Elephas maximus indicus: one gene and its partners. The protein of the gene in region 3 binds, or shares a complex with, the protein of the main gene of each other region. Links are inferred from orthologs where the notes say so. Each region holds a gene or a part of one and is shown on either strand. Other genes may lie near its edges.

Evidence for each region.
Region 1: MAPK14 (region 3) and AKAP13 share a complex: the UniProt entries of both Homo sapiens proteins name them as parts of the signaling complex. The link is inferred for Elephas maximus indicus from reciprocal best matches to the Homo sapiens genes MAPK14 and AKAP13.
Region 2: MAPK14 (region 3) and MAP3K20 share a complex: the UniProt entries of both Homo sapiens proteins name them as parts of the signaling complex. The link is inferred for Elephas maximus indicus from reciprocal best matches to the Homo sapiens genes MAPK14 and MAP3K20.
Region 4: the proteins of MAPK14 (region 3) and TAB1 are in contact, whole or in part, in a crystal structure (PDB 4LOP), measured with the Mus musculus proteins. The link is inferred for Elephas maximus indicus from reciprocal best matches to the Homo sapiens genes MAPK14 and TAB1. Residues at the interface, in NP_036081.1 of Mus musculus: Gly110, Ala111, Asn115, Ile116, Cys119, Gln120, Lys121, Leu122, Thr123, Asp124, Asp125, His126, Phe129, Val158, Asn159, Glu160, Asp161, Cys162, Leu217, Thr218, Gly219, Arg220, Thr221, Leu222, Asn272, Val273, Phe274, Ile275, Gly276, Ala277; in NP_079885.2 of Mus musculus: Val385, Tyr386, Pro387, Val388, Ser389, Val390, Pro391, Tyr392, Leu405, Ser406, Leu407, Val408, Met409, Pro410.

Annotation. Positions count from the first base shown.
Region 1 is NC_064831.1:80,886,778-80,894,378, reverse strand, and holds the start of AKAP13 (A-kinase anchor protein 13), read left to right. Parts: upstream 1-4,538; 5' UTR 4,539-4,773; intron 4,774-7,601. UniProt on the Homo sapiens protein: Scaffold protein that plays an important role in assembling signaling complexes downstream of several types of G protein-coupled receptors.
Region 2 is NC_064824.1:71,227,002-71,234,759, forward strand, and holds the start of MAP3K20 (mitogen-activated protein kinase kinase kinase 20), read left to right. Parts: upstream 1-4,611; 5' UTR 4,612-4,981; intron 4,982-7,758. UniProt on the Homo sapiens protein: Stress-activated component of a protein kinase signal transduction cascade that promotes programmed cell death in response to various stress, such as ribosomal stress, osmotic shock and ionizing radiation.
Region 3 is NC_064819.1:99,704,734-99,711,867, reverse strand, and holds the start of MAPK14 (mitogen-activated protein kinase 14), read right to left. Parts: upstream 3,047-7,134; 5' UTR 2,628-3,046; coding exon 2,512-2,627; intron 1-2,511. Other genes in the region: SLC26A8 (testis anion transporter 1), read left to right, coding at 3,866-4,100. UniProt on the Homo sapiens protein: Serine/threonine kinase which acts as an essential component of the MAP kinase signal transduction pathway.
Region 4 is NC_064822.1:183,334,271-183,341,450, forward strand, and holds the start of TAB1 (TGF-beta-activated kinase 1 and MAP3K7-binding protein 1), read left to right. Parts: upstream 1-4,026; 5' UTR 4,027-4,049; coding exon 4,050-4,082; intron 4,083-7,180. UniProt on the Homo sapiens protein: Key adapter protein that plays an essential role in JNK and NF-kappa-B activation and proinflammatory cytokines production in response to stimulation with TLRs and cytokines.

The DNA of each region.
Region 1 (7,601 bases), on a different chromosome or scaffold from region 3:
ATTATTAAAATTAATTTCACCTGTCTCCTCTTACTTTTTAAATGTGGCTACTAGAAAATTTTAAATTATGTGGCTCACATCATATTTCTATTGGACAGCGTTGGGCTTGACATTGAGAGAAGAAGGTTCCCTTTGCTACCCAAGAAGTGAAAACTTAATCTACACTGTGAAACTTTCCGCTTGTAGTCAGGATTCTCTCAGAGACTCCCTCGTACCTTGCCTCTAGGCCCCACTCTCTTGCCTCACTTCAGTGCCCCCTAAGCACATGGTAGGAGTCCCTGGGTGGTACAAACAGTTAAGTAATTGGCTACTAACTGAAAGGTTGGTGGTTTGAATCTACACAGAGGTACCTTGGAAGAAAGGCCTGGTGATCTGATTTTGAAAGTTCACAGTCCTTGAAAACCTCATGGAGTACAATTCTACTCCGAAACACATGGAGTCGCCATGAGTTGACATTGACTCCACAGCAAACTACAGCAACAGGTTTGGTTTTGGTGAAGCATACGGTGAGAGTGTGATCTTCGTAAGATGAAAATCTGTTCTCATTGTTGTCCCATTGCTTAAAACCTTTTGAGGGCTCCCCCTGGCCTCTCAGAATAAAGGCTGTACTACTCAGCAGGGCAGTATGCTATGCCCTTCATGACCTGGTAGCTGCTACCCTCCCCCAGTGTTACCTCCTACCCCTTCCCCTCTCCAATTTCTTCTGCTGAGTTTCTGATACCTCCATGTCTTTAAATTTGCTCTTCCTGTTTCTGGGAATGTGCTACTTGTGCAAACACTCCCAAGTCCCCTCTACTATCCCACTCTCCTTTACTTGGTTTAATGTGATTGTCTGCTAAGACTCAGCTTAGCTGTTACATCCTCCAGGATGCCTTCCCTGACCTTTTACCTTCTTTCTAGGCAAAAGTGCTCCTCCTCTATGCTCCCAGCACTCTGTGCTTGCGTCTTTAAGAGCATTAACACATTTGATTTCTTGCTGGTTTACTTGTCTATTTCCCTCACTTGACTGTGAGCTCATTGAGGGCAGAACCTTGTTCTTCATCTTCAACCCCGGGACCAAGCCTCACGCCTGGCACACAGTACACTTTCAAGGGCTATTTGCTGAATGACTTGAGAAGCAGGTAAGGGAATTAACCAGGGATCATCAGCTCATGGATGGCATATTAATTAGGGCTCTTGTGGATGTAAGTGACTGTAACATCTACTCTGCCTGGTTTTATTGCCTTACATAGTTGAAAAGTCTATGTATTGTTTTATCTTTAGGTATGGCTAGATTTAGCAGTTCAACCATTGTCACCAAGATGTTTTTTTTTTTCATCTCTCTCACCTTCCCACTGTGATGGCTCCATTCCCAGAGAGGTTATTTCCTCAAAATGACAAGCTGGCTGACAAGCATATCCTCCCAGGTTCCACTGAAGAAGACAAAGTCTGCTACCTTAATAGTTTAAACAGAGAATACAATTTATTCCTATTGCTCCTGATTGGCCTGTTTGGGGTCACGTGCCCACCTCTGAAGTAGAAGTGGCCTACAGGTAGAATGCTCTGATGTACTCCGATCTGATCACGTGCTAAGGCCATGGAATTGGGGCTGTAGTGAAGTTTGCCTAATACCAAGCAGGGGCTGAAGGTAAAAGTTCCCACAAAGCAACATCAGGGTACTAGTTCTACCACAAAAGCAATAAAATGTTGTTTGTTCTCAGTGCCTTTTCTTTCATAAAAGTGGACATGTTATAAAACATGGGTCCAAAGAAAATGCATGTTCTCATAACTGTTGTTTTTTTTTTTTTTGTACACTGGCATTTTTAGGTACTCTGTAAAATGGGGTGTAACCCTGTTACATTTTTAAGTATTATAAACCAGGCAGATCAATTAGATATAAGTCAACTAGAGAGACAGTTCAGAGACAAAAAATCTTGCCATGCTTCTTAGGCCCTGGTATCTTTCCTGGCTTATAAGCTTACTCATGGAAAGTGGTAGAATTGTTTACTCATGGAAAATGATAAATCTGAAATCTTTCTGGTGAAATGGAGCTGTTTAGAGATCCTTGGTGCAACTTGGAAGAACAAATCTTTAGTGTCAGGAACATTCAGTTTGAGGACACCTCACAGTAGCTCTTTCTGTACTAATTCATTCATGCAAAACTTTCATTGAGTTCCTACTGCTGTAGGTACGAGAGAGAGAGAACCAAAAAAAAAAAAAAACCCATTGCCGTCAAGTTGATTCCGACTCATAGCGACCCTATAGAGAGAGAGGATAAAAAACAGACTTTAGGGAGCTTACGTTATACTTACATTATAGTGGAGCCCAGGCCAGCAAATAAACACACAAGATAAATAAGATACTTTCATATTGGGATAAATGCTATGAAAAAATTGGGCAAAATAAAGAGAGGAATTAGGTATGAATGGGCTACTTTTTTTTCTTCTTTTTATTGTGATGAAAATATACGTAGCCAAATATATACCAATGTAACAATTTCTACAAGTATAATTCGGTGACATTGATTACATTCCTCAAGTTGTATAACCAATCTCACTACCCTTTTCCAAATTATTTTACCACCATTAATGAAAACTTACTGCCTCCCAAGCAAAAATTCCCTCTTGCCCCCTCCCTCCCATCCCTGGGAACCACTAATAGTTTTTGGTTTCTATATATGCTTCCATGAGAGAAAGATGTAGCAGTCTGCTTCTGTAAAGATTTATAGCTTTGGAAACCCTATGTAGCAGTTCTACCCTGTCCTTTAGGGACACTGTGAATTGGAATTCCATGGCAACTTTTTTTTTGGTTATTTAATATAAGTGAGATTATACAGTATTTGTCCTTTTGTGACTGACTTATTTTGCTCAGCATAATGTTTTCCAGGGTTACCCATACTGTGGCATGTATCTGAACTTCATTGAGTGGGTTCTTTTTTACAGGGTGGTCAAGGAAGGTTTCTCTGAGGAAGACCTTTAAGCTGAGGCCTGAATGATGAGAAAGTTCCAGTCATGCAAATAACTATTCAGACTTCCCGCCAAAAGACAGAGAGCTCAGTGGTCTGGGGAATTTAGAGTAGACTCTTGCTTCTCAAAGTGAGGTCGCATACCAGCAACATCAGTACCCCTGTGAGCTTGTTAGAAAAGCAGAATCCCAGAGCCCACCTCAGACCTACGGAGTCAGAATTCACATTTACCAAAATCTCCCAGGTGTTCCATAGGCATAGTAAACTTTGAAAAGTGTCGGCCTCTCAACCCTTTCTGTAGCCCACTGGAAAGGTGTAAATCCTGCTGGGGTGGGGTAAGGAAACAGGGAATGGTGTCAGCAGTCACAAGAAAGACGACATGGTAACCATCTGCTGCTGCCACCTCCGAATCAGACCAGCCAGGCTCTAAGAGAAGGCTTTGAGATTATTAAAAGTTAGGGTCCAAGTGATTTTCTAGGATAGCCCCTTACTTTTTAGGAGACTAGGACACTGGGGATGTTTGGCCTTGTTTTTACCACTATGTGATCGTGAACCAAGAAAATATATTGACTGGAAGGAAATGGTTTGGTTTTGGGCCACTTGACCAAGAAACGTATGCTGCTGAATTAATTCCGACTCACAGCGACCCTATATGACGGAGTAGAATTGCCCCATAGGGTTTCCTAGGCTGTAATCTTTATAGGAGCAAATCGCCAGGTCTTTTTTTCCCCAAGAACGGAGCCGCTGCAGGGTTCAAACCGCCAACCTTTTGGCTAGCAGCCGTGCCCTTAACGATTGCACCACTAGGGCTCCTACCTAAGAAATAATAACAGTGAAATAATGGTTCGACGTGCTCGGCATATCCCCCCGCCCCCCAAAGCACATCAAAATAAACACATACCTATCAAAATAAAGAAGTTTCTTCGCGTACCAACTTATTGTCTCCTAGACTACCACTGGTACACCGATTGTAGCTTTTCAAAAGCACCAGATGATTTCTGCGGTCCTTTCAAACTTGAAGACTGTATGAATTTGTGGGATGGAGTTGCCAAAAGTTCACTGTCACAGTTGTGACACCATCACACCGCCGTCCGTCCCTCCGTCCGTCCATCCATCCATCCATCCAGACAAGCCTGGCTGCACACCTAGCCATGACTCTCCTGAGCGCTGGACACAGAAGACTAAACCGCACTTCCTGATTTCAAGGGCGGGGGGAGGTTGAAGGGTAAATCATTTCGGTTTGTGTGCTAAGCGCTACAGCTCAGGTAAGCATCGGGCGCACAGAGGAAGGGCGGTTTCCGGAGACAGGGCGGGGAGCTTTTTCAGAGATGTGGTGCGTGGGCATTTCCCAGGCAGCCTCTGCCAGCCTCACTACTTTGATGACTTTGCCGCCGCGGCTCAGCAGCGGCAGTCAACCTCAGCTTGCCTTAGCAACCTGAGCGCACCGCCCAGGCGCCTTCCTATTGGTCGCACGGACTATGATGGGCACCTCTGCCGTGTAATCCCAGTTGAGGCCTTCGGTTCCGCGCTCCCCGGCGGCCCAGGAGGGCTTGTAGGCGGTGCCGTCCTCCCCAGGTCTCCGCCCATTCCGGGCGGCTTGTAGCGCATGCGCCGGCGGTCAGGGGCTGTGTGCGGGGCCAGCTCAGAGCCGGAGGAGCCGCGGTGAAGCGTCTGGGCGCCGCCGGGACCGCCGTGCTCGTTTCTCGCCTCGGCTGCCGCCGCCTCAGCCGCCGCCGCCGCCGGGGGAGCAGCCACCTATTGTCTTTCTCCGCGGCGAAGGTGCGGAGCTGCTCCGGCTCGGCCCTCGGGGGAGCCCCGGGCGCCGCACGGTGAGAGCGCAACTGAGTTGGCCGAGTTGAGGGAACTTTCGTGATTTGAGGAGTGGTCCCGGCGAGGAGCGAGGGCCCCTCCCCTGCGGCTTGGCTCGGGGCGGGGGCCGGGAGGGGGGCGGGGGCCGGGGGCGGAGGGCTGGGCCGGCTGGAGGGATGAATGGGCGGTGCGGGCAGCGGCCCGGCCCCGCCGACCCCTCCTCCCTGCGCAGCCCCTCTCCTCCCGCATTGTCTGCTCCCGGGCCGAGGCGCGCCTCCTCACCCCGCGGCCCCGCTTTGGGGCCCAGTACGGTCGCCGATGCCTCTCGGGCGCCCCTGGGCCCCGCCGCGAGGCCTGAGCCTCGAGCCCCCGGGCGTTCCGGGCCGGCGCCGCCGGGGCAGGGAGCGCGAGGAGCCCCGGCACCCATGCGGTCGCTCGGTGGATCGCGCCGGTCCGACGGAGGCCGGGCTACCCCGGGGTCGCCAGCGACGCCGCGAACAAGTGCTCCCGGCGGGAGGGGAGCGGCTCCCCGGGGCGCACGGAGAGTAAACACGTCGGGCCGCGCTCGCGCCCTGCGCTGCGCCCGCCTGGGGGTGTGGGGGGGCCCTCGGGGCGCTCGGCCCGACCCGCGCGCGTCGGTGACGGCAGCGGCCGGGGAGCGTGCGACGGGCTCGCCTTTCCTCCAGGCTAGAGCACAGCCCTACTTTGAGCCCGAAGAAAACATTTTTATTATGTAAATATGGCTCGCTGACACTTTTTGTTTTGCAAAGCCTTCCAGTTGGTGAGGAGTTGAAAAATACTAAGAAAACAGTTTTTTTATTAAATAAAAAAATAGTTTTTTTTCTTTTAATTATTTAAACAGATCAGTTCCACTGCATTTAAGTTTCTAGACCTTACTGTGAACTCAGGAATTCACCATGAAAGTTAGATTGAGTAATATTTTGGTGTTCATTTTTAGCTTTTATACTCCTTACTGTGCGAGTTTATTGCCTTAGGCATTTATAACTAAAGTTAAAAGCTGTATGCTTCCCCCTCCTCCCTTATTTTTAGAAGCAGCAGCTTATTCAGTTTTTCTAAACTGTTGGATTGCCCAGATCAGAACAAATGCTGCAGTTCTTGAAAGGTCATTTTTTGCAAGTTTGTAAAGGCGTAATGATCGGCTGAGATAAATCACTGTTCTTGCACTCCGTGGTCTCTTGGGGATTTGCAGATCGCATTAAGTACAAGCCTTGATGTCTAGTTTTGGGTACATGGACTCCACCGAATTTTTCTCATTTGGCTTATACAAATAATTATGTTTTAATGCCCTAGATGGAATTAGCTTAAATGCCTGTGAAATTCGCAGTGGAAGTGTCTCAATTTCAGTTGTTGTATCGTCTCTTGAGCATCTGATAAGTTAAAAAGACAATTTGAGAAATACCGTGTATGTTAGTTTGCCTTGATTTCTCATGATAAGTGGGCAGTGTGGAGAAGTGTTCTTGGATTTTTCAGGTTTGCTTGGCCTCATTTTGCTTTGAGAAACCAATCTTCTTCATCTGATGAAGCTAAAGAAAAATTATCTTATGGCATTAATACTTTTAAACTACAGCAAAGTCACATTTAGGAGCGACAATTCCTACTCTACGATTGTGTGAGTGTTCGTGTGTGGGGGCGTGGGATCCTGGATTGACAGGTTGGAAGGGGTTGTCAAGGAGGGACTTAATGTAAACAAACACTCCTTCCAGCATAAGATGACAAGTAGGCTGGTTGCTTCCCTCCTCTGGGCTCTGATAGCATGTTATACATACTTTTGCTTTGGGATTTCTCACACTTCGTTTGTTTGACTAAGTGGTAACTGTACATGTAAGTGTAAATGGGCTCCTTGGCTAGTCTGTTAACTCCATAAGGGCTGTGATGGGCCTTATTTAAAAAGCTTTGTATCCTCTTTGCCAGGAGTCCGACAGTACTAGTGTTGAGTATGCCTGTGAACTGGGTGAGGTGCTTTTTTACGAGCTGGCGGTGGTGTGCAGTGTGCTGGAAGTGCACACAGGAGAGAGCCACTAACCCCCGGGGACTTGTCCAAAGTGGTAGTTCACTTGTGATGAAGTTTAGTTTACATTAAAAGGACTTCTAAACTTTTTTTTTTTTATCTGCTGATTGTCTCTTGGCAAGAAGTGGGGTTTAAATAATGCACTGTGGATTTCAAAAGGTGATCCCGATTTAGAATTTTTTTCCCTCTTCTTGGTGAAATTATTAAGACCACTGAACACATCCGTTCACATCACTGCCCAATTCTCCAATGCGAAATTGGAGGTAGAACAATTTATAAGAAAGCACATTCTTTGGAGCTAGGTAGATTTGAATTCAAATCCCCACACTTCCATTGACTCGTTGAGTGTCACCTTGAGTATGTCACTTCTCAGAGCTTCAGTTTCCTGCTCTGTAAGGATAGTAACATACTTTGCAGTGTTCTTAGGAATAAGTGAAACTATGTGAGGTACTTAGTACAGTATCCAGCATTTAGTAGGTGCCGAGACCTTGGGTGGAGCAAACTGCTTGGCTGCTAGCCAGAAGGCACCTTGGGAGAAAGGCCTGGTGATCTGATTCCGAAAGATCACAGCCATAAAAACCCTGTGCAGCACAGCTCTGTAACACATGGTGTTGCCCTGAGTTGGAATTCACTCCATGGCAATAAGTGTGTATGTATTACTTGGATAGGGTCATTATGAGTTGGAAACAACTTGATGGCGGTGGGTTTTTGGTTTGGTAGTTGTAATAATTTTGATACATTTTTACATGACTTAAAAGCATTCTTGAAGGTCTGATACTGCTACATATAGTGGTTTAGCTGTTTGTTTCATGTCTTCAT
Region 2 (7,758 bases), on a different chromosome or scaffold from region 3:
TCCAACAAGGCTGGCATTAATCCAAAGAACACAAAATAAGAAATGTTGGAGAGATCGTAGAGAGACTGGAACACTCATACACTGCTGGTGGGAATGTAAAATGGTACAAGCACTTTGGAAATTGATTTGGCGTTTCCTTAAAAAGCTAGAAATGGAACTACCAGATATCCCACTCCTTGGAATACATCCTAGAGTGATGTATTCTTACATCCTTACAGTGATGAATCTGTGAAACATTTCATAACATGGAGGAATCTGGAAGGCATTATGCTAAGTGAAATTAGTCAGTTGCAAAAGGACAAATATTGTGTAAGACCACTATTATAAGAACTCGAGAAATAGTTTAAAGAGAGAAGAAAATATTCTTTGATGGTTACGAGAGGGGGAAGGGAGGGAGGGAAAAAGAGGGGTATTTACTAATTAGATCATGGATAAGAACTATTTTAGGTGAAGGAAAAGACAACACACAATACGGGAGAGGTCAGAACAACTGGACTAAACCAAAGCAAAGACGTTTCCTGAATAAACTGAATGCTTCAAAGGCCAGCACAGCAGGGGTAGGAGTTCGGGAGCCATGGTTTCAAGGGACATCTTAGTCAATTGGCATAATAAAATCTATTAAGAAAACGTTCTGCATCCCACTTTGGAGAGTGGGTTCTGGGGTCTTAAACATTAGCAAGTTGTCATCTAAGATGCATCAACTAGTCTCAACCCACCTGGACCAAAAGAGAATGAAGAACACGAAGGACACAAGGTAATTATGAGCCCAAGAGGCAGAAAGGACCACATAAACCAGAGACTATATCAGCATGAGACCAGAAGAACTAGGTGGTGCCTGGCCATAACCAATGACTGCCTTGACAGGGGACACAACAGAGAACCCCTGAGGGAGCAGGAGAGCAGTGGGATGCAGACCTCAAATTCTTGTAAAAAGATCAGACTTAATGGTCAGACTGAGACTAGAAGGGCCCAGGAGGTTATGGTCCCCAGACCTTTTGTTAGCCCAAGGCAGGAACCATTCCCAAAGCCAACTCTTCAGACAGGGATTGGACTGGACAATGGGATAGAAAAAGATGCTAGTGAAGAATAAGCTTCTTTGATCAAGTAGACACTTGAGACTATGTTGGCATCTCCTATCTGGAGGAGATATGAGAGGGCAGAGGCGGTCAGAAGCTGGTGGAATGGACATGAAAATAGAGAGTGGAGGGAAGGAGCAGGCTGTCTCATTAGGGGGAGAGCAATTAGGAGTATATAGCAAGGCGTATATAAATTTTTGTATGAGAGACTGACTTGATTTGTAAAGTTTCACTTAAAAAAAAAAAAAGCACAACAAAAATTTAAAACCAAAAGCAGTTACAACAGTACGTCAGAAAAGGATGTGGAATGAGGGATATCATTGCTTATGTCACATGGATCTTGACTGAAAGCAGAGAATATCAGAAAGATGCTTACCTTTGTTTTATTGACTATGCAAAGGCATTCAACTGTATGGATCATAACAAAGTATGGATAACATTGCCAAGAGTGGGAATTCCCGAACACTTAATTGTACTCATGAGGAACCTGCACTTAGACCAAGAGGCAGTTGTTTGAATAGAACAAGGGGTTAGTGCATGGTTTAAAGTTAAGAAAGGTGTGCATAAGGGTTATATCCTTTCACCATACTTATTGAATCTGTATGCTGAGCAAAGAATCCGAGAAGCTGGACTATATGAAGAGGAACACAGCATCAGGACTGGAGGATGACTCATAACCTGTGATATACAGATGACATAACCTTGCTTGCTAAAAGTCAGGAGGGCTTGAAGCACTTACTGATGAAGATCAAAGACTACAGCCTTCAGTATGGACTACACCTCAACATAAAGAAAACAAAAATCCTCACAACTGAACCAAGAAGCAACATCATGATAAATAGAGAAAAGACTGAAATCAAGGATTTCATTTTATTTGGATCCACAATCAACGCCCACAGAAGCAGCAGTCAAGAAATCAAATGACGCATCACATTGGGCAAGATTGTTATAAAAGACCTCTTTAAAGTGTTAAAAAGCAAAAATGTCACCTTGAGGCCTATGGTGTACCTGGCCCAAGCCAGGATATTTTCAATCACCTTATATGCATGCAAAAGCTGGACAATGAACGAGGAAGACTGAAGAAGAATTGATGCCTTTGAATTATGGTGCTGGCGAAGAATATTGAACATACCATGGACTGCCAGAAGAAAGAACAAACCTGTCTTGGAAGAAGTACAGCCAGAATGCTCCTTAGAAATAAGCATGGTGAGACTTTGTCTCACATACTTTGGACATGTTATTAGGAGGGGTCAGTCCCTGGTGAAGGACATCATGCTTGGTAGAGGGTCAGAGAAAAAGGGGAAAGTCTCAACAAGATGGACTGACACAGTGGCTGGAACAATGGGCTCAAACATAGCGACGATTGTTAGGATGGCGCGGGACCAGGCAGTGTTTTGTTTAGTGTTTGTACACAGGTTTGCTGTAAGTTGGAACTGATTCGATGGCACCTAACAACAACAATTGGTTAGAATTAACCAAAATGATTTCAAAAAGATTGGATAGTTTGAAAGAATAGAGTCAGTCACAGGAAAAGGCATTGGACAATACGTTTAGGGGCCAAAGAAATCTGCATAGTCATATGGAAGCAAGTAGCTTAATGAAAGAAAATTAGACTTGTGGCAATTAGTTCATCACACAATTTTTATGTATTTATTTCAGCTATGGACAGATATAATAGAAGATAAGAATAGCCTCAAGGAATTTGCAGTCTAATTACGAAGACCCGAGAATGCCTACCAGATTATTGTTAAAGCATGTTTGTGAGACTACTCTACAGTGTTTATTGTTCTTGCTGGCTATTCTCTTAGCCTAATAATGTGGGGAAAATAGAATAAAGGAGAAGTAGATGGGAAGGAAGGGGAATGTGGCTAAGAAACATTAAGACTCTTATGGCATGCAGGCCAAACTTAAAGCAATACATCCATGGTTTTAAAGCTGGAAACTGCAAGTCTCTTATTTTGCAGACAAGGAAACTGGGGCCTGTCTAGCAAAACTTCCCAGCTGTTCAGTGGCTGGACTCAGGACCTTCCTTGACCTGCAGCCTAGTGTCCTTTCTGTCACAATAAAGTGTCCTTGAAGGTGAAATAAAATGATTGAAGTCTCCTTATACCTGGGTCTAAAGAGCTTTAGTTTTCCCTTTGATGGTTGGATGGTTTTTAAGAATTACTTGATTACCTAAATCAGGAATTCTTTTTTTGTATAACAGTTTTCATGAATCCTCATACCTTGGTTATGAAAACAGAAAACTATTAATGCTAAAATTCCCAGTCCTTATCAAAGAGAAAATTCAATAATTAATGTGAGTAACAGACTAGAAATTTTTTAACATATATTCACCAATCCCTCCACTTTCATGTCTTGAACCTATACGATGATTTGCAAATTTTATATTTCCCACCTGTCCTCTTTTATGAATTTCAGTTTCATGTTTCAGCCACCACATCTTTACCTGTTTTCCTCCCATGACCTAGAACTCAACATGAAGCCAGCCAGCTTCCCCTCCACACATCACTATTTCTGTCAATGACACTATCATTCTTCCAGTCATGCAATTTTGATCTTGGCATCATCTCTGGCTCTTCTTGTCTTCCACATCTATTGGGTCACTAATTTCAGTGGCCTCTTGCTGAAAAATCTCTCTCAACTCCATTTCCTCTTTTCTAATCCCATTTGGTACACTCTAACCTAGGCTCTCATAATCCTGTAACTGCTTCCCAGTTTTGCACTAGCAACCCACCCTGCAACCGTTGTAGGAAGAACGTACCCGTTGCCGTGGAATCAGCACCGACTCACAGCAACCCTACAGGACAGAATAGAACCATCCCATAGGGTTTCCAAGGAGGGGCTGGTGGATTTGAAATGCCAACCTGTTGGTTATCAGCTGAGTTCTGAACCACTGTGCCACCAGGGCTTCTCTAAAACATCATCAGAACAAAAACTTTATTCTCTTGTTTCTGACTTTCCACAGTTTCCCTGTAACCAGGGAGTGTAAAATTCAAATTCAAAACCCAGAATACGTGACCTATACCTTTGCAACCTCAGCTCACACTTTCCTCCACAGAACCATCCTCCCCCAATCAACAGTCATTTTTCTTCCCAATACCCATTCCCACTTTTTGCCCACATCCGAAATGGATTCTAGTTCCCTCATCTGATTTCTGCTCTGTTAAAACCACCAACCAGAGCAGTAGACCATGACCCTTCCTCGAAATTCGAGAAGGTACCTACTGTTGGTTCTACCGAAGCAGCCTTCATCCCTATCTCCTCAGGAATATCTTTGTATGTCTACTCCCTTCCCAATTTAACTTCTGTAGGACAGTAAGTAGTCTCCTATCTCTTTGTATCCTACTGCCTATCGCCACAGTAAATGTTGATGAGAACTGCCTTGATGGAATTGGTAGTGTTACTACCAACAAGATGGTAAGGTACAAAGGGGCGAAGAAGTCACTCCGCCCCCTTCCCCCCCCTCCGCCGTTCTCCCAACTACAGGGCAGGTGCACTTTGAGGACAGGGAAGTCCCCTAACAGCCCCCCGGGGGGCGCGCAGACGTCCTCGGTGGGTTCCTGGGCGGATCGCAGGCCTCGGTGATGAAGGCCCCGGAGGCCAGAGTTCGTTCCCCACGCCCGGCTTGCTGGCGTGTGTGAGCGGCTGCCGGGTAGGCGGGCGTGCCAGGCGAGGGCAGGGGGATTCCGCGGTTTCGCGGTTCCGCGGTCGGAGGTAGGTGGTGCTGTTGCTGTGACTGTCTTCCTCATTGGCGCCGGGCGGAGAGGCGGAATGTTCAACTCCTGACTCGGCGGAAGCGTGGAAGCTGCGCGGGCCGCCGTCCTCCCGGCCCTCTGCCGCCGTCCTCGCTGCGCGCGGGGCCTCCGCGCCCAGCTGCTGCTCGCGCCCGGTCGGGGAGCCAGGTAAGGGCCAGGCTGGAGGCCGCGGAGGCCAGGGAGGGAGGGAGGCAGGCCCGCCGCGCTCGCGAGTTGCCCCATCGTCTCGGGGCCGAGGCCCAGTTGGAGGCCGGAGTCCAGCGGGCCTAGGGGCGCCCCACAGGGCACCCCTTCCCGGGCCGGGCTCCGCCCAGGCGGTAGCGGCGGGAGTGAGCGTTCCCGGCTTTCGCGGAGCTCAGTGCTGGACCTCCGCAGCTCCGCGACCAAGTGCAGCTCGGGGAAGTTCGGGCCCGACAGACGGAGAAGTTGGCGCCGGAAGAGCGGGACGCAGTCCCGAGCGTCTCAGGCTTTCTCGGCCCTGGGCATGCAGCGCGGTCGTGGGACGCCTCGTCGCTCGCGGCGCTCCTCCTCCCGGGCCTCGCTTCCCATCGCAGAACACGGGGCCCGGCCGGCCGAGCCCTGGACCCCGGGGCGGGTAGCGCCGGACAGCCGGTTTGCAGGGGCGAAACGCGGACCTCCCAAATCAGGGCAGGATGCAGACCATTTCCCATCAGAGGTCTGTGCGTGCGAGCAGAGACGCCTAACTTCTGCTTTCTAGGGCACTCGGCCCAGAGTGGTATTTCCCACCGACAGTGACGGCTCCCTGCCCTTCCTGAGGCGTCCTTGAGCAACCTGGAGCTCGCAATCGCCCGCACACTCGAACTTCCCCACTTTACTTCCACGAGAGCAGAGGGGATCCCCTTGACTGACCCCTTGGAGGCCCCGGTTTCGTGCACGCTGAGACCTGCCGCAGGCCCAGAGACGAACGCTGAGGCTGCCTCCACGCCTGCTCGCTCGTGACAGCTATCCTAAAAACTTTAAAGCTCGTTAGATGACATTGAATTTCTTGAAAAATGGGGTGCTATTATTAGATTTTTCGACTCGTTTGTTTGTTTGTTTTGGTATTATTAGATTGCCGAAAATGTATGTTCCTGATGCGCTAGATACCTGGCATAAGCACTGTTATGGGGGACTTAATTACTATTTGTGTTAGTTTCTTCAATAATGAAATCAACACAGTTTAGTGGCCTATTCCAGTGTTATTAACAGTAAGCAGCTTGCAATACTGGTGTGTTAGAATCGTATTACAGAATTAATTTGAGGATATCTGAGTTAATATTGTTAAAGTAGACTTCTGTATTCACCCTAGAGCTGTTGTAGGAGAGCCTTCTGGCTTTCCTGACATTAACTAAAGTGAACAGCCAGGATTCAGTGGATCTAGACCTGCAACATATTTTAAGACAGGATTAGACAAGTGAGTCAAGGCCAGTTAATGACGTCTTTGTAATGGGACCATCTCTACAATGAAATTTCTTGCTGTTTTTTCATTTTAAAAAACGTATGTGATAGTGGCATTTAAATTATGGTTTTAGTCATTTGTAGAGCTTTTGTTTGCATTCCTGCTACAGTAGTGAGAGACTTGGGAGATTGCAAATGAATGTGAATTTAGTTTGTTTGGAAAGAGAATTCAGATAAAGAAAAATGGTCTTTTGGAGCTGTGTGTACTGCTAATTTTAATCTTTAACACTCTGATTCCTACTATAACTTTTTGGGGTTATTTTGGGAGTTTTTTGTTTTTTTATATATAAGCTGGAAAATATTGTTTAAATCCAAAGTTTTAGCAGTTATATTTCCAGGTAAGTGACCATAATGCAATGGCCAGGACATTTTTTTTCCTTGTCCAGGAAAGCAAATAGATGGTTGATCTCTTTTTCTAATTCTTTTAGGGAACACTTAGGTCACATTAAAGAGAGAGAGAGAGTAATATCCAAATATTAAGAATTTGGATCTAAAAATGGATGGTCAAAGATCTTGGGAACTAAGGGACCTTCTTGCCAAAAACAGAAACTTGGCAAGTTGCACTGTATATTTTAAGTCAGTACAAGAGTAAGTGTTATTGGCAATACATTGGCTGAGTGCTTATCTGGAATGAGTAGTGAAACTGACTTTGATAGGGCTACAAAACTGTGAACTGAAGTCATGAGGGGCATGGAGTGAATAATCCATTCATCAGAGAAGACACTTGAGAAATTACAATGACGTTTCTTGAAGAGTTCAGACATAAAGTGAAGCTATTAGTGTGGAGTTGAAAGAGCAAATGGATAGTTGATTCTGGAAATTGATAGATTCAGAGATGAGAAGGAGAGAATCTTTTTTTTTTTTTTCAAACAAGAAAAAAGTGTGCACGGTGATACAGTGTTGCTTGGAATAAGATTTTTAATATCTGTATCCTGAGGTGTAGGAAATAAAAATCAACCTGGATCATTTGTTTTCCATTTTATTCCACCCAGGAAAGATTGACAGGGAGGGTACCTTGTGTATCTAAATGTAATAGGAAGAGCTAAGGCACCTTTTGTTCTTACTACAGGGAAGATGAGGCTAATTGTCTTGTGTCTATTAGCCCTGCCCCACTGCACACAAATAAGCAGAGTTCCAGCTGTGGCCAGAAAACTGTACCTGTTAAGGGAAGAGAGCTATAATGCTAGCGCTTAGGTTGGTTTGATTGATACATGGGTGCTTTTGTGTGAAACACTGCTATGGACAGCAGAAGCATCGATTATGCCCCAAAAGTGGTTAAATAGTCCCTACACAGTAGAAGAGTCTGTGGGAGCAAAGCAGCCGCACATTTCACACCCTAACCCCAGCATCACAATTCCTAATAGGAAATTAAAGCCTCATTGAACTTAGGTGGATGCTAAGCAATCTAGCAATTACTGTAATAAGAAAAGGTCTGCTTAAAGTGGTGGTGGAGGAGGGAGGGAAAT
Region 3 (7,134 bases):
GGTCACACCTGAAAAGTTGATAATTGAAAGAACAACTTCAAATAGCTACTCTGAGATGATACTTATTTGCAAATCTAAGTTCTGGTATTTTCATTACACAAGCAGTGATACTTGTTTTATAGTCAATTTTTATGCAATTTCACTTGTATTTTCTTCCACCAAAACTCTATAGGTTGCATCTTCTCTCTCTCACACACACACCTTCCAGTAGACTCCGACACACGGCAATCCCACGCACGTCAGAGTAGAACTGTACTCCACAGGGTTTAAATGGCTGACTTTCTCCTACGTAGGTCACCCGGCCTTTCTTCCAACGCACCTCTGAGTAGACTCGAACTTCCAGCTTTTCAGTTAGCAGCCAAGTACATTACCCATTTTTACCACCGAGGGATTCCATCTGTATCTTAAATCCGCCTAGAAATATTTACTAGAAATGCTACTTTAAAAAAAGACAAAGAAAAAAAACCTCTGCCTTCCTGAAAAGACACACAAGAAACTTAACAGTGGTTGTTTCCGCAGAAGGGAAGAGGGCAGCTGGGGAACAAAAAAGAAAGGGAGGGAGACTTTTCACTGAATACTCTTTTATATATTTTGAATTTTATAAAATATGAATGTATTACCTATTTTTAAAAATCTATTCAACAAAATTACTTCCAAATGTCAGATACTGCTGGCTTCTATAAGCCAGAAGAGTACTAAAGAAATATGAAGTTCATTTTAGCGACACTTTATTAGAAATCTGATGTGTGGTCTAGTGCTGAGCTATTCATACTTACAGGGAAACCCTGCGAGCAAATTTTTTCAAGTTCACCTAAATTCCCTGTAGCTGAGTTATTTTGCTGTATCACTCCATTAAAGTTTAAACGGAAACACTGGAAACAAAAACCTGATATTGCAAAAATAAATATGTCAATTCAAAAATGAAGGTAAATTAATGAACTGTAAAAGCTGCAATGACTCAAATACATCTTTGAAAAGTTGTAAATCAAGAAATATATATAGTGAATGTAAAAAGCTGCAAATTCCTTTAAAATGAGAGAAAGATGTCAAGCATGGTGCCATCTGCGACATAACGCAAGCAGCTTTAACTAGAAAATGCAATATGATCTGTTGCAGGGCACAATTGCACAATCTTAATTACCCGAAAAGTCTACCAAACAGGAAATTCATGATGTGACTTTAAGGAACACAGGAATTACACTTAAAGATTAACACATTCAAAAAACTGGAATATATTCCTAAGCAAAAACTTATTTTACAGACCCCTTTTCAAATGATGCATGTACACGAAATTACTAAAACCCAGAAACAGTTAATAATTAAGTCTGATATTTAGTTTCAGATCGGGGCGCCCAGATTACAGTACATCTAAAATACAGTACATAAAACTTTGGAAACAAGAGAGAAGTTAGTGAAACATTTCAAGTCCGGAAACTTTATTGTACCCGTTTAATTTAAAACACTTGCGGTGTAAAAAGGCGTCTCTTCCTTCTTTTGCTACATGCTATGAAAACTGTCGTGTACCTCAGGTCACAAATGCAGATAAGTTTCCTGCAAAATCTCTATAAGGGGCTTTAAAAACACAGTATTTGTAGGAACTGTCGCAATTTAAAACTATTTACAGTCCTTCCCAGCACGGTTAACTTTTTGATCTTGAGAGCGTCCAACGGTCCTGAATATCCTTTGCTCCAAATGAGAAAATTGTTTTGTCAAACAATACTTAAATGAGCAGAGGAATGTGACTAATCAGTGAGACGACCGGTTTCTTAAACAGCAGGGTTCTCGCAGGCACTATCGCCGCCACCGCCACCGCCACCACCTCCCCCACCCCCCCGCGAAAAGGAAATACGCTTTCAACCGAATCGGAAACACACCACTCAAACTGGCACGGTGTTCACCGAGATAAAGTCAGTATTTTAAGCTCTATAGGTCGCTGCTAATTCAAAAGGAACCCTTCTCAAAACGGAATTTCAACGCAGCTTTGCAAAAAAAGCCCGGGGAGAGCGCCCTTCCTCGTTGTTCAGATGATCACAGTCTCCCAGTTGGGCTCTGCCTTCTCCCGGCAGCTCCTGGGCTTGTCCGCACAGAGGGCCAGCTCCAGCGCCCCAGGGTGGGCGCACCCCCGGAGGGGGCCCTTCTGTTCGACGCCAGCAGGGACACCCCCTCCCCCCGCAAGCAGAAGGCACCCTCGTCCCTGTCCCCGGAGCAGCAGCCTTCTGAGAAGCCTTCCCTGTCCCTCGCGCAGGGCGCGAGCCAGGGCCGAATTCCAGCACCCCCACCCCCACCCCCACCCAGCCCAGCATGGAACTGCGTCCTGCACACGGCTGACCACCTAGTTGCTGTGCAGATGGGGGTGCCAGGGGTGCAAGACAGAGCTCGAAGGGGCAGCGATGCCGTTCCTCGAGAAAAATTCCTGCCACTTGGCGCATCGCTGAGCCGTGGGGGCAGGCCTGGCCCTTGGGCGTGAGGGGCCACCCCGTCCACCTTAGCCTCAGGCCCTGCGACACTCACCATACCGAGCCATAGGCACCGGAGCCCACCGGGGACAGGTTCTGATAGCGCTCAGGCACCTCCCAGATTGTCTTGTTCAGCTCCTGCCGGTAGAACGTGGGCCTCTCCTGAGACATCTTCCAGCGGCGGCCGCAGGGTGAGGAGGTGGCCCTGCGGGGCCCCTGCCTGCGCCTGCACCCGCTCCCGGACTCTCGCTCCCTGCCGGGCAGGGCCGGGACCCTGCGCTGGTCGCCGGCGCAGGTGCGGCTGCCGCGGCCCCTCGGACTCCCGCGCGCGCGCGCGGCCCCTGTCAGCTGCAGCACCTAGATGCGCCTTAGTGACGGGGACGACCCCGGCTCAGGACAGGGGCGCGCTACCCGGCTCGGGGCTGCGCCCGCCGCGACCCCCCTGCACACTCGCCCAGACCAGGCCGTCTCTGGGCTGCGTCGCCGGACTCCAGCTGCAGCGCCCACGGAGACTCCAGCGGTCGCGGATCCAGAGCCAGTGAGCAGGAGCCTCCCTCTGTACTCTCGCGAGAACAGGTCCCGGGACTCTCCGCGAGCCGAGAGTCACCCAATATGGAACCTGCTCGCGGGAGGGGTTTCGTGATGTGAGAGTACGGGAGGAGGAGCAGTTCTCGCGACAAGAGAGCAACAGCTGGAGGCCAGAAGCAGGAACTTCCAAGGACTGATGTCCTTAAGGGCGCGTAGGCAGACTCGCCAAGGAAGAGACTAGCGGGCAACACATGCCTCGTGCGCCCCACCGTGGTGGGCTGGGGCAACGCCTGGCTCTGGTGCTAGAAAGCGACGATGACAAATGGGGCATCGGGAAAAGGGCCCAAGATCTTTGAACTCAGTATAGGCACCGGCAGCCAAACACCTGCTCAGGGAAATTCTCAATTTCCAAGAAATAACTTGCATATAAAAAGAAAAAGGTTCCAGCCAGAAAGCCGCTGCCTTCCCATCTGCTCAGGGACATACGGCTTCTTCTTAGGGATTCTGACGAAGTCTGTCACAAAAGCAAATATTAGCCCTAAAGTGAGATTTTTTCCAGCCAAGCTCTCCTAGTAATTCTCAAACTTTTATGTACAGAAGAATCAACCTGGGAGTTTGTTTTAAAACACAGCTTCCCAGGGCGCGCTGCAGTCTAATTAGATAAGTCCGAGATGGGCACTGCATTTTTAGCATAGATGCCAGGCGGTTCTGATTTAGGGAAATCTTGGCTATCTCCCTTCGAGAGGTTTCCTTACGTCTCTCTTCTGACCTAACCGGTAACCGGAAGACTTGTGAATTGATGCGCAGTGCAGATCACGAGCCCTGGCACCAAGTAGGCCTGCAATCAAAAGTGTAAAACCTCGAAGCCAGTGGGGGCCTGGATGGCACAGGTAAGGAGTTCCCTTGGGCTCCGGACGCGCGGCCCAGCTATCCCGGTCCCCGCTCCCCTACCCCTGCTGCCTATGCCCCCTGCCCGCTCCGAACGCCCGCAAGCTCGGGCGCAACGGCTCGGGAACCGCCGGCGTCTGCGCCCGCATTCGCGTCCCAGCGCTGCCAGCCGGGCCAGAGCCGCGTCCGACCCCACCGTCGTCATTCCCGCCTTCGCCCGGGAACCAGGTGAGCCGCTGCGGGAGTCGCCCAGGAGCCAGGGGCTGTAGGTGGAGAGCGGTGAGGCCGCGGCGGGTCCCCGGCGTGGGAGCCTGGGTGCGAGGGACCGGCCTTTCATTACACATCGAAGTCGCAGGCAGGGGGCTGCTCCTGTCCCCAGCAGGGCTAGGCACATAGCGGGCGCTCAGTCAATATTTGAGGGATGAATGAATGGGGATCCCCTGGGAGCTCAGAGGTCTTGTCTGTGCTTTGAAAGGCCGCGTGGAATGGCTATAACAACAGACAGCGTGTGCATTTTTGCAAGCTGCCTCCTTTCAAAGTCGCTTGCCGGGATTATCAGAAACCCTCGAAGTGGCCCACTGCCCCAGTCTCAGCCGCCACCGCATCCATCTCCTCCTGAGGCTTGACTGCCCAAAACTTACAGCTTTTGTTCATTTTGTTCCTTCTGCCTGAGCCTCCTCCCTCACCTGTCCCTTTCTCTTCCTGTCAAATTCTGTTTATCCTCCAGGATCCTGTGACGTTTCTACAACATCCCACCCCAATAATAAGTGTCTCTCCTCCACACTCCACTGGTTTTGCCCTTAACTACATTGCAGTACAGATAGCTGCAGGTAGTGTCTGATGGTTAAGCTCCTTGAGGGCTGCATCTTTGTCTAAGTCATTTTTATATCTCTGTCACTAGACAGTTATTGAAGAGTGCTAAAAAGATGCCTTTTCTATATCTGAAATTCATTTCCCATTAAAACCTAGGTAGTAACTGGCAAAGGGCTGTTTTAACAAATGCTTATTTTGAAATTTTGGAAGTGAATTTTGCCTTCACATAATTTTAGAGAATATATGAAAGATGACAATAGTGGGGAAAGATATTCTGGCAACTAAACTTAAGTTTCAAGATTTCAATTCTATTGGGTCAATGGTCAGAAAGTCGCACTGTATTTAAACTTTTTATTCTTAATTTTTTAAATAGTCTGAACATAGATTATGTAAATGAATAAATGGATGGATGGATGGATGGATGGATGGATGGGGCAAGTATGGAAGGTGAAGGAGCTGAGTCAAAATGCATGTGTTTTGACAATGCCCCCAAACTTAACACTGGAAGACTAAAGAAGTTGGCTACATTTACAGTGGTCCTCATACTTTACTGTGTATCGGAATCACCTGGAGGGATTCTTAAAGCAGAGTGTTAGGCCTGCCCCCAGAGTTTCTAATTCAGTATGTCTAGGTAGGGCCTGGTGGTGTAAGAGCTACCGCTGCTAACCAAAAGGTCAGCAGTTCGAATCTACCAGCTGCTCCTTGGAAATCCTGTGGGGCAGTTCTACTCTGTCCTGTAGGGGCGCGATGAGTTGGAATCGACTCAATGGCAACTGTTTTGGTTTTTTGTTGTTGTTGTTTAGGTGGGGCCTGAGAATTTGCAGTTCTAATAAGTTCCTAGGCAATGCTGATGCTACTTGTCTGGGGATCAGGTATGGGGTACAGAGATTAAATTAATGTCTCCCTTGTAGTAATCCAAACCAAAAAAGCAAACCCGGTGCCATCGAGTAATCCAGGTACTCAAAATTATGTTACATTTGTAGAGTAAGAAAACGAAAACTTACGTGGTTCAAACACATTGTCTACCAAACTTAAATATTTGCTCTGATGGAAGGAAGCATCAAGGAGTTGTCTTCAAAGTGGACATTTATCTTCAAGGTTATGGGTAAAGGTTAGCATGGTGTTGATTACACTGAGTGCAGTAGCCCCATCAGACTGACACTGTCAAGAGCTGGAAACAGACACTGTCCCTTTTGTGTCTTAGCTGCAAGGTCATCATCCCATCAGTGTAGTTTTGATGATCTTTTCTGAAATTCATCACCTTTTCCACACTAAAGTGCATCTGGCACTTATCAGTAGGAGCTTCTCGTCACACACCTTGTCAGGAAGGGTCCTGCTAAAGCATGAAAACAAGCCATTAGGGGTTCTATGAAATCGAGAGGGAAATAATGGAGCTGGAAAATTCCAGAGAAGACTGCTAAAACAAATAAATAAGGAAATCATGTGCCTTCCTTTAGGCAGCCATTTGATGAGTCCTTTAAAGCCAGCATCAAAGATAGCTTTCCACTTGCCACTCCTCACCATCCTCACTGTGGCCACCAAAGCTTATAATTCAAATACCTCTGCCCTAGACTATTCTAATATCGATTGTTTCTAACCAGTCTCTTGTCGCTAGCACTGTCCAATAGAACTTTCTATGATGATGGAAATGTTTTACATTTGTGCTGTTCGGTAAGGTAGCCACTGGCCACATGTGGCTGTTGAGCCCTTGAAATGTGGCTAGTGCAACTAAGGAACTGATTTTTTATTTTAGCTTAATTAAGTTAAATTTAAATAGCTGCATGTGGCCAGTGGCTACTGTACCGGACAGTACAGCTGTCAATCATACCACCGACAAGATTCCTTTTCCCAAAGTGCATCTCTGTGCATATTACTCTTTCTGCTCAAACAGTTTACATAGCTAAAAAATAAAGACCAGCTTTTTTTACAACTCAGCATTTAAGACCTTCCAGGAATAGGCCTCATTCTACATTTGGGGGGCTTAACACTAATTTTAGGAGCTCCTGGGTGGCACAAACAGTTCAAACCCACCCTGAGGTACCTTAGAAGACAGGCCTAGCATTCTGTTTCCCAAGGGTCACAGCCTTGAAAACTCTCCTCTGCACACATGGGGTTTCCATGAGTCGGCACTGAAGAATGCTATATCCCACTCATTATATAATAAGCCCCACTTATTTTATACCTCCCATGTCTCTTCACGGTGCCAGACTAGGGTCAAACTCAGCAGCATCTTCTTTCCCTGCTGATTCCGCCAAGCCTGTTCCCTTGGCTGTGGTTTTGCTGGATAGTAGGTAGGGACAGTGGGAATCTCTTTCATCCATTCATGCACATCACTAATTAGATGATGAGGCATTTGGCTACCTTCGTTACATGAGTCTGCTCGACAGCAACTAACGACATGAACTTTACGAAGATCTCTTGAATTACTTGCCTTACGTTATCTTTGTAC
Region 4 (7,180 bases), on a different chromosome or scaffold from region 3:
GCCCCCCACACTGCATTGTTTGAGGGAGGGGTTAGGTATGGAAAAAGGGGTGGGTATGGGGCCAGGGGCCACAAGTTAGAGTTGCAGCTCTCCTCTAAATCACTCAGAGACCTTGGGCCTGTCTGTGCCTCAGTTTCCTCATCTACCAAAGTGTCCATGAATGGCTGTGGCTGTCCGACTCTTCAACCAGTTCGATGCCACCAACATTTGCTGAGCAGCTCCTCTGGGCCTGAAGACCAGGGCTGAGTTGCCACAGTTCCAGTCTTCTAAGTCCTGGTCCCTGAAACCATAGTTACGGTTTTAAATAATCAAAGGTGATGGAGAGTGATTCATGGCATAGGGATTTCATCTGATAGGAGTCTTGAAGAGTGAGCAGAGGTTCACCAGGTGGGCAGGTGTGGGAAAGGCATTCTAGGCAGCACAAACGAGATTTACAGAGGCATGGAAGCAGGGAATGATATGGTTGTTTGGGAAACTATAAGTGGTTATGCTGAGGCTGAGCTGTGAAGGGCCTTCTAGGGTCTGCTTACCTCACAGGGTTGCCAGGAAATGCCTTGGAGTTAGAAGACCTGAGTTCAAATCCCAACATCTATTTTTTGGGTGGCTCACTGAACTGGAATTTCCTGCTTTATCAAATAAGCGGGATAATACCTGCCTTACGAGGTTGGAATGAGACATAAATAAGTACATGGTTAAAAACTACCTGGTATACACCAGGTGCTCAATGTGGGTTTATTAAATCTGTAGAAAATGAAATTGTACTTTCACTTAAAGCACAATAAAGTTTTTTTTTTTTTTTAATTAAATTGTAGTCTGAATATAACAAACATTGGTGCCTACCACAGGTCAGGTCTTTCCATGGCATCTCATTTAATCCTCATACTCCCTTTTTACAGAGGGGAATACTGAGGCCCAGGGAGAGGAGGTTGCTTGTTCAAGAGCACTCAGGTGACAGGATATGGAGCAGGGATTAGAATGGAGGGGGTTGAGCTCCAAATCTTTATTTTTTCCAGGCTTTCCTTCAACAGACAAACCACCTGCCCCTTTTCCTCCTCCCTTCTTCATGGCGGATACTGCTCACAGCCTCCTGGTTCCCATTCTCCAATCCTGCTCTGGTAATAGATCCCATTTGTAGCTGGGCACGTTATCGGTCAGTCCAAAGCCTACATTTCCTGGCCTCCCTTGCAGCTAGATATGGCCATGGGGCTAGGTTGTAGCCAACGAGGCATAAGTAGAAGCATCATGGGGAACCTCCAGAAGTCTCCTTAAAAGGAAAGAGACACATCTTGCAAATAAATGTTTAATTTTAAAAAAAGGAAAGGGAGGGAGGTGTCATCTTCCTACCTTCCTCCTACCTGCTAGCTGAATTAAGACAAAATGGCTAGAGCAGCCATCCTGAGTCATGTGGTGCTATGTTGGTAGGACAGCAAAATGATGAGTCACCATCCCAGCCCTGGGCTCGCTCCCACCCCTACCCTCTATCTTCTGAATCAACTCTTCTGTATTAAGCCTTCCCTTCAGCGTTCAAACAGACTCAAGTTTAGGTCCTTCCAAACTAAAAGAAAACCTTCTCTCAATCCCACATCCCCTTCCATGTTCCCTTTTCTGTCTCTTCCTTGTCACAGTTCACCAACTGGGAAGAACCACCTACTCTTAGGTCTCCATGTCTCCATTTTCCAGCCATCTCTCAACTCACTGGATTTAGGCTTCTGTCCTACATCCTGAGGAGCCCTGGTGGTGCAGTGGTTAAGTGCTCAACTACTAATCAAGAGGTGTGCAGTTCAAACCCATCAGCTACTCTGCACAGGAGAAAGATGGGGCAGTCTACTTCTGTAAAGATTTACAGCCTTAGAAACTCTATGGGGCAGTTCTACTCTGTCCTACAGGGTGACTATGAGTTGAAAAAACCTGACAGCAGTGACGGTTTTTTTTTAGGTCCTACATCCTACCTGAACTGCCTGGGCCAAAGGCCTCTGGACCACTAACTCTAATGGGCTTTCTTCTGCTCTCTTCTAACTAGAGCTCTCACAAGCATCTCACGCTGTTGCCCACACCCTCCTTAGACACTCCTCACCATGTCTTTGCCTCTGCTCTGAGCTCCAGTCCCCTCTATCCAACAATTGACTTCTCTACTTACATGTCTCAAAAACACCTCTAACTCAATGAGTTCAAATAGAACTCATTCATGGTCATTCCCTTCTCACTCCCCCAAACCTAGATGCTCTTGCCAGAAATATGGGAGATATCTTTGACACATTTCTTCCCATCACCACCCACAACTACTCCATCATCAAGCCCTGACAATTTCATCTCCTAAATAAAATCCACCCACTGCCATCAGCCATTTCGAACCACTAACATCTCTTGCCTAGAGCTATTACAATATTCCCCTAACTGGCCTTTCTGCCTCCTTCCAATCTCCCTAAAAATATGTCTTGTAGGCAGTAGTCAAGGGGATCTTTCTACCAATAGAATCATGTCACTGGCTTGCTCAGAAGTCAGCAACTACGTCCTGGGGATGAGAAGTCAAACTCCTGCCTGGGGCCTGCATGCCCAGAGGCTGCCCCTTCACCCCCACCACATCACCTCACTCCTCCTCCACCTCTGCTCTAGTCACACCAGCCTTCTGGCAGTTTCTTGGGCCCACGCGCTCTCTCTTTCCTTGGTCTTTGCACTAGCTGTCCCCTCTGTCTGGCCAGCCCTTCCCTGTTAGCAGTTAACACCTGTTCAGATCTCAGCCCAAGCATGGCTTCCACAGACCGGGTCCTTGCCCCACACTCCCACGGCACTATCCATAAACATCTCCTTCCTAGTACTTAACACCATTTGAAGTAACTTATGTATAAAAATGTTGTCCTCTCCAATTAAAATGTTAGCTTTGATGGCCTGTTTTGCTTGCTGTGTTATGCCCTGTGCCCACTATAATGCCAGGCATGATCACTCAAGGAGTATTTGTTGAGTGAATGAATGAACATGTACCCCCTGTTCCAGCTATTGTGTTCAGGTTGTTGTTGTTAGCTGTGGTCGGTCCAGTTGGCCCTGACTCATGGCGATCCCACGTACAATGGAAAAAAAGCCCACGTGGTTGTGCACGATCCCCACGGTCAGTTGTGAATCAGACCATTGTGATCCATAGGGCTTTAATCGGCTGATTTTTGGAAGTAGTTCACCAGGCTTTTCTTCCTAGCCTGTCAGCTCCGCTGAAACCTGTTCAGCATCACAGCAACATGCAAAGCTCCCATGACAGATGGGTGGTGTTTGTGCGTAAAATGCAGATGGGTTCTCCTGCGTGAAAGGCGAGAATTCTACCACTAAACCACCAGTGCCTCAGGAGGAGGCTTATAACAGTTACAAACAAGCATTTTAAAGGAAGATTTAAAAGGTAATGCAATAAGAAGTTACACTATGGAGATCATAAAAGCCAAAGGATGCTTGTGACTTTGGATAAAATTCCCAAAGGCACCAGTTGTTGTTAGTTGCCATCCTGTTGGTTCCCACTCCTGGAGACCCCATGTGTGCGAAGTAGAACTGCTCCATAGGGCTTTCAAGGCTGTGACCTCTCGGAAGCAGATCGCTAGTTGTTTCTTTTGAGGTGCCTCTGAGTGGGTTCGAACCACCAACTTTTTGGCTAGTAGTGTGCGTTTAGCCATTTGCACCACCCAAGGACTCCAAAGGGGGTATACTACATGGATTCACAAAATACGGGGACCCTAATCCAGGGATTTAGAAGTTTCATTTGAAAGGTACCCCTGAGAAAGTGCGCAAATAGAGACGGGTGAGAGGCAATCATATAAGGATGGGAGGGCGGTTTGTAAAATGTAGGGGTACAATAAAGCCTTCTTTTAAATTTCCCCCGGAGGGAAAAAAGTAGGAAAGCAAGTGCGCCTGCGCACACGGTCCGCCACGGCCCTAACTGACAACGGCCGTAGGGTGGCGCTGGGCGCATGCTCCCTGGCAATGCAGTCGTCCTCGCCTCCTTCAGGCCGCTCTAGCCGCTCTTCTCGCCTGCTCTGCCGGGAGGCGGGAGCGCCCGCGGGGGTCCCTCCAAGATGGCGGCGCAGAGGAGGAGTCTGCTGCAGAGTGTGAGGAACCGACCCGGTCTCTGGGCTGGGGGTAGGGGGTCCGGGGACGCCTGTTTGGTCCAGGAGCGACTCCCTCTCCGCTTTTGGACCTCCTTCCTCTCCCGGGCGGGGTGTGGCCGCTTCCCTCCCCTCTCCCGCGGCCGACCCCCTCATTCCCGGGGCAGGGGGCGCGCACTGGAGGTTCGGTCCTGCGCGTCCCGCGCGTGCGTCCTGCCCGGCCGGCGGCTGGGGTCACGGCCTTCCCGGTCAGAGCGCCTGCGGCCCCGGGGCTCCTCACTGCATTGCCGGCGCTCCCGGCCGGGCGTCGACGGTGGGACCGTTCTCGGAGCCGGCGGGGAGTGAGGCGCGCGGCAGCGGAAGGAGCCCGGGTTGTGAGCCCACCCGCCGCTCGGGGTAGTCGTGCAATAGTAGTAATAATCCTGGCAGCATCACTCATATACCGTTCACTACGTCCCAGGCATTGTGCTCATTGCGTTATGTTAGTAAATTTAATTTTCTTAGTACACCGATAAGGTACTATTTTTAGACCTGTTTTACAGTTGAGGAAACTGCGGCACAGAGAGGTGGTCATTTGCCCGAGGCCACACAGCTGGTCAGTGGCAGAGGCAGGAATCGAATCTGCGGTCTGAGTCCAGAAAAAGAAAAACCAAACCCATTGCCGTCGAGTCGAATCTGACCATAGCTACCCTGTAGGACAGAGTAGAACTGCCTCATGGAGTTTCCAAGGAGCACCTGGTGGATTCGAACTGCCGACCTTTGGGAAACCCTCTTAAACTCTAGGCTATAATGAAGGCATGACTGAGATAGTGGCCACCTGAGTTCTGGTCGTGACTCTGACTTACTGTGCCTCCTTCAGCTTCAGTTTCCTTATCTGTAAGCAGAGAGCAGAGCAGACCTGGAGTGGGAGGATTGTCCTGAGATCCCCCCTCTCCTGCAGCCTGGACACTCCTGGGTTTGGTGGTGATGTTGCCCTCCAGCCCCGGGCATCCTCCTGAGATGCATGTTCACAGATGCATATGTGCTCACATTGGCAACACAGGCTTATTCCCACCTGCCAGGACTGGGAAGCATCCTCTGGGTCCTGTCCAGTGTCCTAGGGTAAAATCACCACAAAGTTATAGTAGAGCAAGGAGAAAGACTTTATTTGGCATATGTTCCAAGAGGCAAAAGTAGGAAACGGACAAGCACGCTGCCAGAACCACGTCTGCCCGAGTCCAAGGAATGTTACAGAATCATCAGTATATATTAACATTAACATTACAGTGGGTAAAATCATTAAAAGTTTCACATTTTCACACATTGACTAAAAACTGCTAAATCACCATGATTCTGCATTTTGAATTGACTTTCTTAATAGCTACTGGTACAAATTTCGGTAATGACAGGAGGGTCTTCACTGGTCCAACAAATGTTACTGTTTGTTAAATGCTAATAGAAAAAGTAAGAGTGGAAAATGGGTGGGTCTTTTGTGCTCCGAATATGTAAAAGAGTCACTAAAAGATGTTTTTCAAGGTTGTTCTAGCTATTTTTTTTGTACCTCAAGGCCCAGTTGATGTGTCCTTCTGAGTCCAATTCATCTGGGCCACATTCTTTGTACTCAAGGACAGGGAATAATGGCTCCAATTTTAACTCCTAAGTTACGGGTCATGGATTGTTAGCTGTTGTTGGGTTAGCCCTCTACTCATGGCAGCCCCTGCACAGTGGTTTCGCTGCCCAGTCCTGCACCATCCTGTGATCGGTTGTTGATCGGACTGTTGTGATCCATAGGATTTTTATTGGCAGATTTTCAGAAGTAGATCACCAGGCCCTTTTCCTTAGTCTGTTTTAGTCTGGAAGCTCCACTGAAACCCGTTCGGCATCCTAACAACACGTAAGCCTTTTTCGACAGATGAGTGATAGTTGCACACGGGGTGCATTGGGTGGGAATCGAACCAGGTCCCCGGCGTGGAAGGCAGGATTCTACCACTGAACCACCACTTTCCCCATTGCCCTAGTTATGGCATTCTCGTAGTTGCCTGTGGACCTCTCTGGGTCCCATACTGGAAAGTGAACTCCTTGAAGATGGGGACTTGGGACCCCTTGCTTACTTTTGTTACAGCATCTACACTATTGTGTGCCGGGTACTCAATAAAAATTGGTGAAAAAATGAGTAAAGCATTTGTAGCCTGGCCCATTGCTTAGCCTTGGCCTTACGGATATGCAGCAGACATTGGCCCTCCTGCCATTGAGGGTCTTGAAGCATGGGGATTTGGGTGTGAGGGTGACCTTCACTGTTGCATGTTAATGGCAGGCTTTGTGTAGATTCTCTGGAAGCAGAGCCTTGTTCCAGATTGCTCCCTGGTGGGGACAGCTCTCTTCCCCTCCACACCAGAGGGCACTGGCTGCCCCTTTATTTTACTAAGGAGCCCTGGTGGTACAGTGGTTAAGCATTCAGCTGGTATCTGAAAGGTTGGCGGTTTCAACCCACTAGCGACTCTGCAGTGAGAAAGAGATAGCAGTCTCTTCTGTAAAGATTACAGCTTTGGAAACCCCATGGGGCAGTTCTGCTCTGTCCTATAGGGTTCTATGACTTAGAAACAACTTGATGGCAATGGGTTTTATTTTACTGCTGCTCAAGTCTGGCTTGTTGAGAAGTTGGTTGGGTATGGCTGGTACCCTCTGCTTTGTGAGCTCCTGGAGGGCAGTCCCCATTGTAGTAAGCATTCCGGAAACGCTTACTACCTGGATTATGATGTTGAGAGAGTGGCTGTGGAAGTGATAAGTGCTACAGGTAGACTTGTCTTGTTGAAGAGAGAGCGGCTGCCTGGGTTGTGCAGAGGGTGGGTGGCTCCCTTCTAGGCGTGATGGAGCCCAAGGAACTTGGGTTAGATAAAAGGTGAGCTTCACTAGCTCTCGTATGTGTTCTTGAGGGTAGTTGTGGAATCTTTCCTTGTACTTTTTAAAGATTGGATAAAGTTAGCTTTAAATACATATGTATTTAAAGACAGAGGCCATACAAGGCCCCTTCCTGCGACTTTCTCTAGTGATGATCTGGACATCCGTGCTCCGCAGAGGAGAGGGGCAGGCAGTGAGCAGGGCTGGCTGACCTGCCCTCCGTT